Arabidopsis thaliana: one gene and its partners. The protein of the gene in region 2 purifies or fractionates together with the protein of the main gene of each other region. This does not show direct contact. Each region holds a gene or a part of one and is shown on either strand. Other genes may lie near its edges.

The links. The genes of interacting proteins can lie anywhere in the genome.
Region 1: the proteins of ACX5 (region 2) and ASP3 fractionate together in Arabidopsis thaliana (co-fractionation; one large-scale study listed by BioGRID). This does not show direct contact.
Region 3: the proteins of ACX5 (region 2) and ICDH fractionate together in Arabidopsis thaliana (co-fractionation; one large-scale study listed by BioGRID). This does not show direct contact.

Annotation. Positions count from the first base shown.
Region 1 is NC_003076.8:3,684,407-3,689,365, forward strand, and holds ASP3 (aspartate aminotransferase 3), read right to left. Parts: upstream 3,449-4,959; 5' UTR 3,316-3,448; coding exon 3,130-3,315; intron 2,820-3,129; coding exon 2,748-2,819; intron 2,655-2,747; coding exon 2,593-2,654; intron 2,505-2,592; coding exon 2,421-2,504; intron 2,330-2,420; coding exon 2,230-2,329; intron 2,137-2,229; coding exon 2,016-2,136; intron 1,921-2,015; coding exon 1,757-1,920; intron 1,659-1,756; coding exon 1,521-1,658; intron 1,441-1,520; coding exon 1,224-1,440; intron 1,144-1,223; coding exon 1,023-1,143; intron 936-1,022; coding exon 851-935; 3' UTR 540-850; downstream 1-539. Other genes in the region: MYB3R-4 (myb domain protein 3r-4), read left to right, coding at 1-58, 186-278. UniProt on the Arabidopsis thaliana protein: Amino acid aminotransferase important for the metabolism of amino acids and Krebs-cycle related organic acids. No activity with D-Asp or D-Ala as amino donors. In plants, it is involved in nitrogen metabolism and in aspects of carbon and energy metabolism.
Region 2 is NC_003071.7:14,997,782-15,003,588, reverse strand, and holds ACX5 (acyl-CoA oxidase 5), read right to left. Parts: upstream 3,864-5,807; 5' UTR 3,628-3,863; coding exon 3,490-3,627; intron 3,411-3,489; coding exon 3,240-3,410; intron 3,163-3,239; coding exon 2,953-3,162; intron 2,867-2,952; coding exon 2,779-2,866; intron 2,698-2,778; coding exon 2,535-2,697; intron 2,438-2,534; coding exon 2,239-2,437; intron 2,090-2,238; coding exon 1,892-2,089; intron 1,812-1,891; coding exon 1,680-1,811; intron 1,555-1,679; coding exon 1,434-1,554; intron 1,351-1,433; coding exon 1,170-1,350; intron 1,091-1,169; coding exon 697-1,090; 3' UTR 516-696; downstream 1-515. Other genes in the region: AT2G35680 (Phosphotyrosine protein phosphatases superfamily protein), read left to right, coding at 4,999-5,235, 5,433-5,555, 5,641-5,734. UniProt on the Arabidopsis thaliana protein: Catalyzes the desaturation of acyl-CoAs to 2-trans-enoyl-CoAs.
Region 3 is NC_003070.9:20,281,348-20,287,325, forward strand, and holds ICDH (isocitrate dehydrogenase), read left to right. Parts: upstream 1-1,978; 5' UTR 1,979-2,172; coding exon 2,173-2,221; intron 2,222-2,418; coding exon 2,419-2,462; intron 2,463-2,541; coding exon 2,542-2,651; intron 2,652-2,808; coding exon 2,809-2,846; intron 2,847-2,931; coding exon 2,932-3,009; intron 3,010-3,088; coding exon 3,089-3,142; intron 3,143-3,236; coding exon 3,237-3,338; intron 3,339-3,483; coding exon 3,484-3,572; intron 3,573-3,672; coding exon 3,673-3,776; intron 3,777-3,879; coding exon 3,880-3,948; intron 3,949-4,025; coding exon 4,026-4,141; intron 4,142-4,309; coding exon 4,310-4,344; coding exon of another isoform or gene 4,345-4,350; exon of another isoform or gene 4,351-4,449; coding exon 4,450-4,592; intron 4,593-4,850; coding exon 4,851-4,973; intron 4,974-5,062; coding exon 5,063-5,159; 3' UTR 5,160-5,439; downstream 5,440-5,978. Other genes in the region: ABCD2 (ABC transporter family protein), read left to right, coding at 5,570-5,921. UniProt on the Arabidopsis thaliana protein: May be involved in response to oxidative stresses.

The DNA.
Region 1 (4,959 bases), on a different chromosome or scaffold from region 2:
TAATGATGATGCGAGGCAGAAGAAGGAATTGGATAAAGAGAATAATGATCCTCTACTGGTATATATACATACTCTACAAATCATTCACTCTCTAAGTAGACGGTTTTGAGATTATAGTTCTAGAAACAAAGAAAAATGTTTTGTGCTCCATTGATTTTGTGTTTTGAACATTTCTCAATCTATAGGCGGAGCGTCGAGTGCTGGACTTCAACGATTGCGAGTCTCCAATCAAAGCAACAGAAGAAGTCTCATCCTACCTCTTGAAGGGATGTAGGTAAAATGCCAAAAGCTTATACATAATATGCAAAATGCACCATACATGAACAATGTATAAATATGTATGTGCATCTTTTATGAATTATCCCTGGCTGGATCAATTTTTTTTCTCTGTTTCTTTTTAATGGATCAATTGGAGTGAATTTATGTAGATTCTGTGTTCAATATATATATACATATTTCATTTGCCTGCAATGAGTACACGTCCGTATACTCTGTGAAACGAACCAACTGCAGTAACTTATTCTTGTTCTCTGCTAGTTTAATCTAAATAGTTTCTGCAATTCCGTCATATGCTAAAACCTCAGATTCTACATGAACTGTATTCAAGTTCACCAGCTTAAATCTCAAATGTTTTCTCTTAAACATTTGACTCTATAAGAAACCAAAAAAGAGTTGTAAGCAATAGTAGAAGAGAGAGCACAAAAGCTTTCTTGCGTACTTTATTGATACTGGGATGAAACAATAATAATAGTAACGACATTTATCTTGTCACTGCCGGAAATGCTATAATAGAAAGAAAAGAACAAAATCTTTATTATGAAGCTTTGGTGTCATGGTGGTGTTCAGTTTCTCAGACGGCTTTGGTGACAACAGCATGGATAGCGTCTGCAAGGTGAGGTACAGTCTTCGAACTCAGACCAGCCATGCTTATCCTCCTTTGGTTCATTTATATCAATCATCACACACTAAGTTAGACAAAATTCAAGAAAATTAATAGATGAAGAAGAGAGGCAGGCGCTTACCCGTCAGATGTCATGTAGATGTGGTACTCTTTAGTCATGAAGGAGACTTGAGCTGGGTTTAACCCTGTGAAGGTAAACATACCAATCTGCTTTATGATGTGACTCCAGTCTCCAGGAGTGCCTGTCACAGTGATTTTGAATTTCATTTCATTAGCTATGTCCATTTACATTCCTTATACAAATCAATAAGACCTTACTTACCTCGAGTACGTAATGCCTCGAAAAGCTGTTTCCTCATGCTGATGATACGATCAGCCATGGCCTTCAGTTCCAGAGTCCATTCGTTGAACAAATTCTTGTCACGGAGGATTACAGCCACGATTGATGCACCATGGATTGGAGGACTCGAGTACATTGGCCTTATCACTAGTTTCAGTTGGCTTTCAACTCTCCCCGCAACATCTGCTGATTTGCATACCTACAACAACTTCTTTTATGTCAGAAAGAATTTCTTACGCGTTTCTTAAATAGATTTCTTGCAATGCAACAGGTTCTTACAATGCTGAGAGCTCCAACTCGTTCTCCATAGAGTCCCATGTTCTTCGCATAACTTTGAGCAACGAGGCATTCTCCGCCATCAGCAACAAACATCCTAATAGGTTTCGCATCTGTATCAAGACTTCCACTTGCAAAGCCCTGCGATACAAAAAGAGAGACAAGTATTAACCATTGATTCAGAAGGAAAATGGTTTAAATATCAGCTGATCTTACACAAAAGGATTCATCAGGTGTACCTGATAAGCACTATCGAAGAAGGGCATCAATCCCTTTGATCGCATCAACTTCCTGATTTGCTCCCATTGTTGAATGGTTGGATCAACACCAGTAGGGTTATGGGCACAGGCATGGAGAAGCACTATAGAACCAGGTGCGGCAGCACCAAGGTCTTCTAATAAACCTGTGAACAAAAGAAGAAAAAAAGTTGACGTAAACGAATTCAGAAAGATATATAAGCATATCAACAATAGCAAGCAAAGAACTCAGTAGTCTCACCTTGAAAGTTCAACCCACGCGTCGCTGGATCGTAGTATCGGTAAGTTTTCACTGTCAAACCAGCGAGCGTGAAAATCTTTGGATGATTTCCCCATGTTGGCTGAGTGATGTAAATTGTTTTCTGAAAAGCAAAGGAAAAGACTCCAAATTTCTATGAGAAGTTCTATAGGATGAAGAAATTCAATCAGATAGGAAATTAGGCTTAAGCATCAACCTGATGATAATGTTTAGCCAAAAACTCTCCTCCAACTCTCAGAGAACCAGTACCAGACAAACACTCCACGGTGGTAATCCGATTCTCCCGAATAGCAGGACTAAACCATACATGAGAACACCAATCATAAAGAATTGTCTAAAGAAAAAACAAAGTGATGAAAACATAAAGAATAAACAGAGAATGCATACCTGTCAGCGCCTAGTATGAGCTTAGCGCTTAACTTGTTGAACTCAACCAATCCAACAATGGGAAGATACTCCTTGATTCTTGTTCTACAGATTAACACACAAAACAAGATTCAACATCATCAAGCACACACACACACATAAAGGGTAGAAACCAAAAGAAAGAGAGGTAAACCTGTCATTGATAAGCTGCTGCTCAGCTTTCCTCACAACATTAAGAACCAAAGGTTTTCCCTCCTGTAACCCATCAATAAACAACCAATCCTTTTCAGTTGCAACAACAAAAATAATAAATCAAAGAACAGAGACACATCTTCATTGTAACATTACCTCAGTTCGGTAAGCACCAACTCCTAAATTCAGCTTAACTGGGCTAGGATCTTTGTTGTATGCAACTGTCACCTATTCATTTTTTTGTGAAAAACAAATATCAGAATCACTGACATAACCACACTAATCATCATAATTCATCTCAGAGCTGAAAATTTGGTGAAAAAAAAATGAATTACTAATCAAACGAACCAAATTCAGAAGCATAAACATCAAATCTTATCCCATTTCATAAAACATCATGTCATTTTATCGAGAGATCGTGAATTCCCACCAATCAATAACGGATCCAATGCGTATGATACACATATCCAAAAGTATCGTCCAATATGTTTGAGAATGATATAGACACACAAAACATAATCGAAGAAGAAGAAGGTACCCCAAGAATAGGATCCTCTGGAGCTTGAACAAGATGAGAGAAAACAGAACCACCGGTGCCTCCCGATGTCGGAGATGCATAAAGAGAGCTCAGGTTGTCCGAATCTGAGCCGGAATTGAGATGACGGAGCAGAGCACCGATCCTGCGATCGGAAGAAGAAGAGGAAGAGAAATGAGTAGTTTTCATTTTTGTTTTTGCTTCGTGTGTGTTTGTTTACGAATGAAGAAATAGTTGAATACGAAGATCTCTTTCTTTATATCAATTTGGTCTTCTAATTTATTTTTGGCTATCCAAATTTGCCACGTAAGCTTGGCATAAAGTTGCGTGCCTGAAGCATCATCATCATCATCATCATCAAGATATTAAAAAGTCTTTGTAAGATTATCCATGAAAAAGCCGGGAAAACAGGGAATTAAAATACTCCAAAAATAGGGTTTATATTCGCATTTTAATTGTTGAAAATCTAACATAAATTTTACATTTTTTACACTACCAATAATGTTATATAGAGAAAAACTCTTTGATTGTTTGGGAGATTTTACAATGCTCATTGTTTAGCTGCTAGTATTTTTTTTTGGTTAAATGTGAAATTATTTATTTATCTGTTATTAATAAAAAATAACAAACAACCAAAATGCTAGAGATTATTAATATGATCAACGTATAGTTGTTTTTGATTTTGTCAACGACCTTTGTTGAAGAGGATGAATATGTGATTTAATACTTAGTGTAACATGAAATATATTAAATATCTGATTGATGATGGTTACTTGTGGTTACGAACTTACGATGATAGAAGTTTGTTTGGTCTAGTCCCCATATCAAGCTTATGTTGATTATTCTAGTTTATTAGTATAATTTAATCTTTATTTTAAATTACTTTTATATGATTTACAATTTTGGATAATGGATCATTTTAGTCTCTTTTTTTTTTTTTTCACTGAAAGATATATTTTATATTCAAGATTGTAACCAAATATACAAAAAGTTAGGATCAAGGACAATCATTCTAGATCAACCACGTTGAATATTACACTAAGCAATACTTCTTTCTTTCTCAAAAAGATGTTTCAGCCAAAAAGGAAATCCGCTTGCTACATACGATTGGCGGCGATCCTCCATTGTCACGCTCTTGGCAATAAGATGAGCTCCAAGATTAGAGCTTCTTACTTCACCACACAATTTCCAATCCAAGATCATTTTAGTCCAAAACCAGATTATTGCTGAAAAGCAAAGCATTCGATTAATTTAAAAATCCGGCAAATTATAATCTTCATATTTTTTCGTTGATACGAGGACGTTCTCCTATCTTCTCCAAGAAAGAAATTTGTATCCTCGAAAGTACTTACTCAGTTACTTGACTTATCAGGTGTTGATGGTTCGAGGGCTGGTTTACTGATCCACGGCCAGGTTAAGTTAACCCATCAAAATTGTAACACGTCCTGGGTTGATATGCGAAATCCACTTTTTATCGTCTAAATGTTTTTGTACGTCCTTCCTATCCCATAGTGGGGGTGGTTGGTTGGGTCCGGCAAATGGATTCTGACCCGATATAAGAATAGAGAACCAATTACTTGGATCGTCGATGGCTTCGTTGAGCTTGGGATTTGTTGTAAAAACTGGTTGCTGTGAAGAGATTATTCAAGACGCCAATTATGTCTCATATACCTTTGTTTTTTAGTGGCCGGTTTCTGATGAGTTTTGGGATGCTTTGCTTTATAACTGATACTTTAATGGATAAAATAAGTTAATTTAATGTTTCTACAGAATAAATGGTTGGTCCATATATGTTTTTGAGAGGGGTAGACAAAATTTTAATTTGAGTTCGAC
Region 2 (5,807 bases):
CACACATATACATACATCTATAGTCATATAGATCATACTCATATATACATGCACATATAGATATGTGATATAGTGTACATGCATATATCGGAAGAGTCAGTCAAACTTGGTTTTCGTCTTTAATTTAGACTCTTGGGTTAAACAAGATTAAAGACATAAGCTGTCAAAATTAATTTAAGGATGGTGTCGTAACTACCTTCACTACTAACCAACTAACAAGTTTTCTTTTTTAATACGAATGTATTATTTGTTTTAGTTTGTTTTTTTCAATGTTGGAGGATTTAGATAGACGACAACAGTTGGCTAATAGCAATAGTACAACCACAAATTGTATGATAAATACATATTCAACTAACTAATTCGGTTATTAATTGCTCAATTAATAACTAAAAACGTAAGGAAACTTTATGGATCGAAAAAAGCCAATTAATAGAAGGTAAAGCAAAAGGGCACATAAAACTAAATGTGATCGTAAAATCTGCTGACATGCAAATGCAATAGTACAACCACAAAATTGTATATGCAATTAATCTGTTTTATTTCTTCATAGATAAATAAATGTGATATTTTACAAATATTAATTTATCACCCATATAACTTAAGATATTTGTAGTTTACTTCACATTTGTTAAAAACATGAATAAAATATAACATAAATAAAACAGTGTTGCCCCTTTTAGCCGCACAAAGAAAGAGTTAGAGTTTGGCAGAGCGGAAGCGTTGCTTAATCAACGGTCGGATGTACTCACGGTAGCCGTCAGGAACCACCGAGTCATTGAGTGGATCCTTCAACGCTTCCTCGAAAAGCTTTGGATAAACGTTTCCGTCATAGCGGCCTAAGACAGAGCCAAGATACTGGTCCGTGTAGTCGAAGGCGTCCACTAGGGCCACTGCGTTTGGTCGAACCTGAGAGTAGAGTGATCGAAGCTGCTGGTTCGCAAGTGAGGCTTGTTCAGGAGTAACAGAGTTTGTACTGAGGAAATCACCAAGGTGTTTGTGAAGGAGATAGAGTGCGTAGATGTAGCATAGATTCTTGAGCTGTTTCTTCACTCCTTTTCCTTCAATATCTCCCTCTACTTTGGCTATAAACCTGTGAATTTTCACGTAAGTTATGATTTGAGTCTGTTGATTAGTTTGTAAAATTTTAGTGAAGAAGCTTATTTACTTACTTAGAAACAACAATTAACTGGCAATGAGCAGTAGCAGCCTCAACAAGATCAGCCAAGAGTTCTGAGAATCCTTGTTCTTGATTCTCAAACTTGCTTAGATTGTTAGCACAAGTAACAGCCATTCTCAAAGCTCTTGCTTCAAAAGCTTCCAACACCATACCAGGGTTTAACCAGTCCCTAGCTACATTCTCAACCAAGATAAATTCAGAAAACAGGTAGATATAAAGAGTATAAATATTATGGTAGTATCCATGAAAAAATCACCATTTCGAACTCCGGAACTGCATTGCAAAAGGTGTTTTGCTCTGCCCATATAAGCAGTTGTCCCAGAAGGAGCCTTTCCAGAACCCAACTGTGAAACTGTCTTCATCAGAAATCTAGCAACCTGAAGATCCATTGTTTTAAAACATATATAACAAAATTTTAAGACCATTTCATTTGCCATTATAAAGAGTAGGGGCTTGAAATGATTCTTAAAAGTGATATTCAAGAAGATAAGTTTAAGAATACCTGTAACTGCAACACAACATTGTCTCCCTCGTATGTGCAAGCAGGAACATATACAGCAAACAATTCAGGAAGCCCACTACACCACAAGTATCCATGTCCACCACATAACTTACGACATTCTTCAATCCCATCCTTTTAACCAACAACAAAAAAAACACAGTTTAGCTGATAATATTCAACTTATTTTAATAAGTTAAGATTTGAAAGCATACAGAGGTGGCTGAGGTAGTCATAGACTTCAATCCAGCAGTGCATGCATGAGCTTCAGGCAATGTTGCGAAATCACTGGCCTCTAGTCTTTTTGTTACATCAGTGTAGAGCCACTTCAGCCATTCCCCTACAAACCGAAATGCATATGCAGATGCCAGCAGAGGAAACAACCTGTTCTGCTGAGTTTTATAATTAATCACCTGCCAATTATAACAACATCAATAACTGGTCTCTATGTTTATGGTCATGACTGATGACCATATTCTATCTAGAGATTGGATTCTTACTTAACTAAGTTACAGAAAACATTTTTGCCCCATAGTTATGAATAGTGAGATTTGTTGAATACCTGTGTCTCAATGCCACCATCATGTGAGCCAAACTGCCTTCGAACAGCACTGTACCTAGTAGCAATGCAAACTGCCCGAGCCAGCGCGGTGGAAGCATTTGACACAATAGACTGTCTCACATACACCATAGTACCATACACCAATTGCCTTGGAACATCTGATGCTACATATTTTCCTTCTCTTGTAACTTTTGACAGTCTATAAGAAGAAAAATGCACAACCATAAATCTGTTTCTCTTAGGGATATTAAATGATAAAATGCTTTTATTCATAGAAAGGGCCAAAGAGAGAGGACCTCATGAGCATTTGATCTCTAGGAATGCGAAAATGATCAAACATAAGAAAACCATTGTCCATTGAGTTATATGCCCCGTTTCCAAACTTCATTCCGATATCACCAACGGTTATACCCGGAAGAGGAGAATGATCATCCAAACTACGCAGCTGCACGATGAATCCTGAAAAACAGAAAAATCTTGTTACTCAATACTACTGATGATTATTAAAAAAATGAATAAGAAATCGTTCTAGTGCCTTACCATGTACACCATGGTCTTTGCCATTGGTTATTAGACGAGCATAAATAACAGCATGAGTAGAAACTTTTCCTAACCCACCAGGCCACCACTAATGTTTCAAACAAAACAAAATCAAGACACAATTTAAACACTCAGAGATCAAAATAGATAACTGTCTATACTTCTTCCCCTTACTTTGGATGATGTCTGAGTTGGACTGTGAATGATAAACTGATCTGTCTTTGGATCAAAAGTAGCGGTTGTCTCAAGGCCTTGAACATTAGAGCCATGACCAAGCTCAGTTTGAGCATAACATCCAATTATCTGCATCTTAGTAGCTAAAGACAACCACTTTTGTTGTTGTTGCTCTGTGCCTTGTCCTTTAATTGCAGGCACAAACATTCCCTATCCACCACAAAACCAATTCAACACCAAAATTCTAATTAAACCACCCAAGGGAAATTGTAAATTTTGTGTTATACCCAATGCAGATCCAAGAAGCCTGGTTGATCCATGAAAGATCTCAATTTGAGTCCTTCCTCATCTGAGAGACGAAGCTCGTTAATCAACTTCCAAGCGTGAACACTTTTCCTCAACGTGTTCTTGAACAACTCTTTCCTACTCATCACAGCTCTTTTGCTTTTCTCAAAGACCTTAACATGGCAAAAGTTTCGAAATTCACATCGGAAATGTCGCCGGAAAAACAGAGAAAGGAGGAAGGAGAAATCTTACCGGATCATTAGCGACGAGGCGAGACATACGATTTGAAACATCGAAAGCGTGGCGGGAACCGGCCCAGACGATCTTCATATCGTCGACGTTGAACTCTGCTTTGTTCCTCTCATCGGCAAGGTGATCAACTCTCTCCATTGTTCTCTCTATTGTCTCAGATTCTCGAGTGTGTGTGAAAAATTGGATAAATCAAAGAAAGAGAAGCCACTAAAAAAGCTCTTACCTTTGGGTGATTCAATAAGAAAGAATTCGTTACAGAAAAAACAGAGGATTTTGTTCTATTTTTAGGATTACAAGTTTGAACAGAAAGAGAGACTAATGTAATAAAGGTAACAAAAAAATTGGTAATAGAAAGTTCCAAGTATTTATCATTTATATCGGATTCTAATGAAAGACGTGATAAGATTTGGTTTAAAACTAATCAAGCTCTCTCTAATCATCTACACATCATAGTTGCCATTAGCCCATTAGCCCATTACTACACTCTCGTGGGCTGTAGATAATTTGCTCAGCTACTTTTGATTTTTTTTTGTTGACTTTAGTAAATCACTCCAATATAATAAAGCCTATTTGCAGTAATTTCTATTTTGTAGCCTAGTTGTAAATTCTTTTTACTCGAAAGTATTACCCAGGACTAGTTTTGTTTGTTTTGAATTTAATATTTTAGAGGACTTAGATACTTTTTCTTAAGCTCAAAGAGAACTTTATTTTTGGCTCAAGAAGTCTTGAATTTTAACAATTAAAAACATAATTTTCTTTTCATTTCAAATATGGGTAAATTAATTGTTCTTTTAAAAAACTTAAATTAATTTGATACTTAAAAATTAAAGAAAGGATCTTATCCAAAACAAAAAAAAGAGTTAAAGAAAGGATAATCCTAATATTATCCGGGCCTTGTGCGACGCATGACTCTTTCTCCATAAATCGGCAAAACACGTGTCAACAGAGCATTGACTTTCACATAAAAGCTACAATAAGAGGTGAAACGCTTGTCAGTTTAGCAAAAACCCTCTCATTGAAAACACTGAGATCCTTCTTTTTTTGGTTCTCCTCTCTTAAAGAGAAAACCTAAAGGTTGAGTAGAGATTAGGCAAAAACAAAATTCTCGATCCCCAAATTTCGAAAACTTGTTCTTAGGGCGATTCTTCTCTTTGGTCATTTGGCGAATTTGATTTATATCCATCGGTGATCGGATTTTTTTCAGTCTTCTCCGTCTCGTCGTTACCGGCGTTTGATCGGATCATCGTTTTGTTTCAGGCGAAATATGGTGGTGATCTCCCTGAAGATTTTGAATTCAAAATTTCTTCGGTTGCTTCCTCTTGACTTTATCGCGATTTCGATTACGTGTAGACTTTCTTCTTGGCTTTGTCTTCGAATCAATTAGGATTGTGAATAATCGTGTCTGTGTATATAAGACTGGTGATTGATTATTAGGGCATCGGTTGGCAGGAGAATAGATTGTTTTTTTTTTTGGTGTGTGTTGGATCTTTAGATCTTTGACTGAGGAATATGTATATCAAAGAACTGACGGAAACGGATGAGGAGAAGAGGGAGAGATCGGTTGAGGATAACGTTGATGATGGAGATAAGGCGGTATTGGTGAGCAGAGGAAACGTGATTGTGTTGACTACAAAGAGGGCACTCGTTGGTGTTGGTGCTCGTGCTTTGTTTTATCCTACTCTGGTTTACAACGTTGTTAGGAATAAGCTCGAATCTGAGTTTCGCTGGTGGGATCGCGTGGCTGAGGTAAAATCTTGATTGTCCTTTGAGCTGTTTTAGTGGAAATTGATACATTGATCATGTAGATTGTGCTGCTTTTGATGGTTTGTGTAAAATCGTCTTCATTTGTTGTTGTATCTCTTGTAGATACTCCTCTAAGTATGTTTTCTGGATTTGGTTCTGGGTCTTTTGCTTATGCTTCTCTCTCTCTTTGGTTTCTGCAGTTTATATTACTGGGAGCTGTTCCATTTCCATCTGATGTTCCACAGCTGAAAGAGCTCGGTGTTTGTGGAGTGATCACTCTGAATGAGCCATATGAAACTTTGGTTCCATCGTCTCTCTACAAAGTGAGTTATTTAATGTGGCCGTTCTGTCTTTTGGTTTCTTCTATGTACTGACCCGGCCCATTTAATTTTCTTACTCTTATGGAAGTCTTACTGCATTGACCACCTGGTGATTGCTACAAGAGATTATTGTTTTGCTCCTTCCATGGAAGCAATATGCCAAGCTGTAGAATTTATCCATAGTAAGTGTACCTTCTCATTTTATTCTTTTACGTTTTTTGCCACTGACCATTATTAAAAAGCTTACTGTTGTCC
Region 3 (5,978 bases), on a different chromosome or scaffold from region 2:
GCTTTAAACCAAAAATGAAGGCTTTTTATGATTCAACAGTTTAGGGGACCCATCTCTTCTTCTCAAACCAAATCTACCTGGCGACACCTAAACACTCGGCTTTTTCTTTTCTTTTTTTTTCGGTTTGACAGTTTTGTTATATTGTTTTATGTTGTTATGGTCTTATAATAAGAATACTTATAAATTGAATTCATATATATGATTAAAAAATGGGAGAATAAAAAAGCAGGAGGCATCCAAGTCGACTTTGGCTTTAGTGTTGGGAGGCTTCTTTAGTCCCTTTTACATATGGATTAAAGACGTTGTTCGGCTCTTTTACATCATTACTCCCACACAATCTTTGACTCTCTTTCTCTCGGCCCTTCAATTTTACTAACTTCCGGTCAAATCTCTTTTGCCTCGACTCTCGGCCTCGATCCAAAAGATAAATTAAAAAAATAAGGACATCTTCATTCTTCACATGTATGATATATATAACTCATGTCATATATTAGATGTCTCGTTTACATGGTTTTTTTTCGTTTGCTAATATATATAATTCACATGTAGACGAAGAACATTGTAAACGGAATTTAACAGAATGAAGTAATCAAACGTTTTATGTAAGGAAATGATCAAATACTGAGGGAGTCCACAAGTTGCGACATATATAAAACTCCTCCATTCTTATAAAGTATAATATTCAAACTTCAAGTAAGTAACTCTCCCTTTTCCGTGAGAAAGAAATAACAATAACATTTTAGGGAAGCTTTAAGATGTGGTCACCAATAACTTAGGGAGAGAGAGAGAGAGTGACAGATACAAAAAACAAAAGATAGCAACTGAAAAATATTTTGGCGAAAGATGCTTTAACAGTTTAACTTATCAAACGACAACAACAAGACATGCCCCAATTGTTTCACCACTTTGTTTTTCTTGGTCACAAATCGAGTCTAAGTCTATATGAACAAGTAATTAATGTGAGTACTATATATAAAAAAAAATGTGACTATATATATAAATGTTGTATCACAAATGCAAAAGGAATGTGGATTAATTAATTAATAAAGACAACGAGGAAGCTAACATGCAAGCCTAACTAAAGACATGCAACCTTTGATACGATCTAAGGGGAAGCGAATAAAGCTAATTAAGATCTAAGCATCTTATCTTATCAACCCTTTTATATTTCCATTTCACATGTATCAAGTACCTATACTCTTTCTCAAGCTTATAGTATTGATATCTAGAGTATCAAATAAACATTAATTAATTAGACGTAACACAATAGTGACATTATTAAATGAATAGTAAACAAACTTTACGTGTATATATATCCATGACGAAATTGGCAAAGGCGGGACTCTATGGGGGAATCATGATAATACATACATACGATATACATGTTGACATGTATCATGTATCATGATAATACATACATCATCCCTTTTTTGTTGGTTTGTTAATAAAATGATCATACATCATCTTAAACATCAACATCAATCACAATTCTTCTAAAAGAGAAGAAGAGTCTTGTTCAGAAAAAGTAGCATCTGATTCCCTACATGTCGGTTTCCAAAACATATTTTTTTTCCATCTCATATTAGTTTGTGCTAAACAAACTGATCCAAGGAAAAAAGAAAAGCCTTTAAATAATACAAGTTGGAATCCCTGTGTCTCTAGAGATTCTTGCTTTCATGTTTTTTCACGCATCTCAATTATAGCAGAAGAACAATGTCACTGTCCAAAAACATTTGCGTTATTTGCCTTTTGCTTTTCTCCATGCATTAAATCTCATTTCTACCCTTGTTAAAGTGGTCACACTCATTACTCTTTTTAATATACTAATCCTACAGGACCACCTCGTGATTGTTATCTCAAATTTTGATTAATTATTCAATCAATTAGCCAAAGCAGATCTTCTTCAATTTTAAGATTTTGATGATTACTGTTAAAGCTGACTATCACTGCGGGGAATTCAAAGATGATGCTAGTATACAAAAAGAGAAGCATGGTTTCAAATTGCAGAATCAGGCCCATATATAAGTGGGCTTGATTATTTGGGCTTTTGGAAGAGTGTGGCCCAACATAGAGATATAGAGCTGTTATCGTCTGTCTTTCATGGCGGAGCAGAGGTGATCGTTTCACTATTCAATTTCACTCGTCGATCATTACCAACCTCTGCGGGCAAAGATGGAATTCGAGAAGATCAAGGTGATCAATCCCGTTGTTGAAATGGATGGTAAGTGTTCGAACAGTCAATTAGCTCAAATCTATGATTACGATTATGGGTTTCTCGTTACTCTGATTGATTGATTTGCTTATATTGGAGTATATGTGATCGGCTCTGTTCCGGGTTTTTCTTTTCTTCTATATGTTATAGTTTTATGAAATAAATTCAGAAACTTGACTCTTTATTTATTCTCTGTGCACAAGCAGGAGACGAAATGACTCGAGTTATCTGGAAATTCATCAAAGACAAGGTAAAAATCTTAACTTTTTTTTAAATCTTTAATCACAGATTGAATTCTTTTTGTGATTAAAATCTTGAGAATTTTGCAGCTTATTTTCCCTTTCCTGGAGCTGGATATCAAATACTTTGATCTTGGACTGCCTAACCGCGATTTCACTGATGATAAGGTTACTATAGAGACTGCTGAAGCTACTTTAAAGTATGTCGTCTTTACATTTTATACTTAGATATCATATTCTCCATGCTTTCTGCTTCTAGTGTTGAGGTTGTTCTGTGAATAAAGCTTGTTCATGGCTATTGGTTTCAGAATATATTGTCTGCCTTAAAGTTTTTTTCTTTTCTTTTCTTGTGTGAAGGTATAATGTGGCTATTAAGTGTGCGACGATTACTCCGGGTATGTATTCTTAAACCTTTGCAATTTTTAATTTAAAAGTGTGCTTCTTTCACTTACTAACAACAGTTTTTGCTTTCAACGACAGATGAAGCTCGTGTTAGGGAGTTCGGCTTAAAGAAAATGTGGAGGAGTCCTAATGGAACTATAAGGAACATTTTAAACGGTCAGTTTCTTCGCCAAAAAAGGGGGCAATTCCTTCTTCAATTCCTAAGCTCTAAGATCATGTTGTTATTTTTATGCAGGCACAGTTTTCAGGGAACCTATCATTTGCAGAAACATCCCTCGTCTTGTTCCAGGTTTGTCAATGGCTGCTCTTTTTGTATGAGTTAGCCATTTTCTGTACCTTTAACATGTAGAGCAAAACAAATCCCTCTGATTTCATTTCCTCAGGATGGACGAAGCCAATCTGTATTGGAAGGCATGCTTTTGGTGATCAGTATAGAGCCACTGATCTCATTGTCAATGAACCAGGAAAACTGAAACTAGTTTTTGGTAATCTCCTCCTCCCGTTCTGGATCTGTCTAACCCTTCAATTAAATTGTTCATTATAGAGAATAATGGGGGATCATTGTCATTGAATTCACCTACCTGTGGAAGTTTATTTATACACGTTAAAAATCATATCTTACATATGCAGAGCCAAGTGGATCTTCTCAGAAAACAGAATTCGAAGTCTTCAATTTCACCGGTGGAGGTGTTGCTTTAGCCATGTATAACACTGATGAGGTAGATATTATTGAAATAGTCCTCTCCTTCATGTCTGCACTATCTGAATACACTTACAGAGTATCTATTGATATGGTGGTCCGATTTCATTTTTGAACAGTCTATTCGTGCATTTGCTGAGTCCTCGATGTACACAGCTTACCAGAAAAAGTGGCCACTTTACCTCTCCACAAAAAACACCATCCTCAAAATATATGATGGAAGGTGTGAATTCACTGGCCTTTATACTTTCTTGTTAGAGTCTCACCGAAATCATTTCACCATCTAGTCATACTGCCCTGATATTACCTTTTCATCTTGTTTTCAGATTCAAGGATATATTCCAAGAAGTTTATGAAGCTAACTGGAGATCCAAGTATGAAGCAGCAGGGATATGGTGAGATGTGCATGTTATTAGCGACATTCTATTACAGTACACCATGCAAACTTGTAAACAAAGTTAATGAAATCCAGGTATGAGCATCGTTTGATAGATGATATGGTTGCATATGCCATGAAAAGTGAAGGGGGTTACGTCTGGGCATGCAAGAATTACGATGGAGATGTACAGAGCGATTTCTTAGCCCAAGGTTTTTCCTCTTAAATTTGAGATCTGTCTAGGGACTGAAACCTTAATTCTGCCAAATGCATTTTGGTCTTGTATCATGGTTCTTTGTTCTTTACTTGTGATCTAAATGGGGACAGAAACTTCAATTTTATTTCTCCTTATGAAACAAAGTTTCTGCTCTCCGCTGCAGGATATGGATCTCTGGGAATGATGACTTCGGTGTTGGTATGAAATGACGCGGGCCTCAGCCAAAGTTTTTGGTCTTTATCATGATAACATGTTTCCTGCGCATCATTATATTTTATGTATTAAATTTGAGATATATTACAGGTTTGTCCAGATGGAAAGACCATTGAAGCAGAAGCAGCTCATGGCACAGTTACACGCCACTACAGAGTTCACCAGAAAGGTGGTGAAACAAGCACCAACAGCATAGCCTCTATTTTTGCTTGGTCCAGAGGCCTTGCCCACAGGTAACGCATTTCCACTGTCTTTAAACATTTTCATACTTGGTAATTCGTGTTGCTACTCTGGAGAAAATCCAGTCCCTTGCTTCAATAATGAGTTAGTCTATCAGGGATTGTTTGTGGTAAGATTTGTCATTACTTGTCTCTTTATAATTGATCACTGAACTATGTGAACCGTTTTACCTTTGGCATAAATTGAGTTTAAAGTCTCTGAAAACTGGTTGAGTTCATCTTAACAAGATGTTTGGTATGTGATGGTACCAGGGCAAAGCTGGACAGCAATGCCGCACTCTTGAGCTATACTGAGAAACTAGAAGCAGCTTGCATGGGGACGGTGGAGTCTGGCAAAATGACCAAGGATCTAGCTCTTCTGATCCACGGAGCCAAGTAAGACTAAAACTTGAGAGAAAGTTGATGAGGTTGATGCACTTAATAAAAAATGTTTAAAGATAAGTTTTTGTCTACTATTTGAACAGGGTTAGGAGGGATCAGTATGTGAATACGGAAGAGTTCATTGATGCGGTGGCATGGGAGTTAAAAAGAAGATTGTTAGGCAACAACTCCAGGTTGTGAGAAGAAAGAATGGAAATCTGAAAAGCAAAGAGTCTCAGCAGCGTGATGTTTGATTTGATGCTCTTTCATAGGTGTAGAACTTAAAGCCTGAAAAGGGGCTATTGCATGAATAAAAGGAGATAGACTAATTGGGTAATTTATTGAGGAACTCAGATTTCCCAAAGCCGAGACTCACTCCTCATTGATTCGTTAAAAATTGAATCTTTTTAGCCCTTCTTTCTCTGTATAATCTCTGTTGTAAAAGCTACCAATCAACAGAAATGGCTACGTTCTCGTTGTCATTATCTTCTCTTTCCCTTTGTATTATTTATCTGGCAAAGAAATGAATGGTTGAGCTTTAGTTATAAGTGTTCCCTCTTGCTCCCTCAAGTTGCTATGGCTATGTGGGATTAGTAAGAAGACGACGGAGGATGATTTTGATGATAACAGCTCCCGTTTGTCCTCCTCACCTTCTCCTACGCCATTCTTCTTTGCTTCGCCATGAATCATCGATCGGAAACTTTCATCGGAAGAAAAATCCACGTTTCAGAACCGTATCATGTTCTTCTTTGTTGCCGCAACCGTCGGTTCGTCCGGATAAGGCATCGGAGTTGAAGACTCTGTGGAAGAAATTCTACAAAGTCGCGTCGCCTTATTGGTTTTCCGAGGACAAAGACCAAGCCAGGCTTCGTCTCGCCGCCGTCTTCGCCCTTACTCTCGCCACCACCGGCATTAGCGTCGGCTTCAATTTCCTCGGCCGTGATTTCTACAATTCTCTCGCCAGTACGAATTCTTCAACTCTCTCTCTCATTTCTCACTTTTCAAAAACAACTTGCTCTG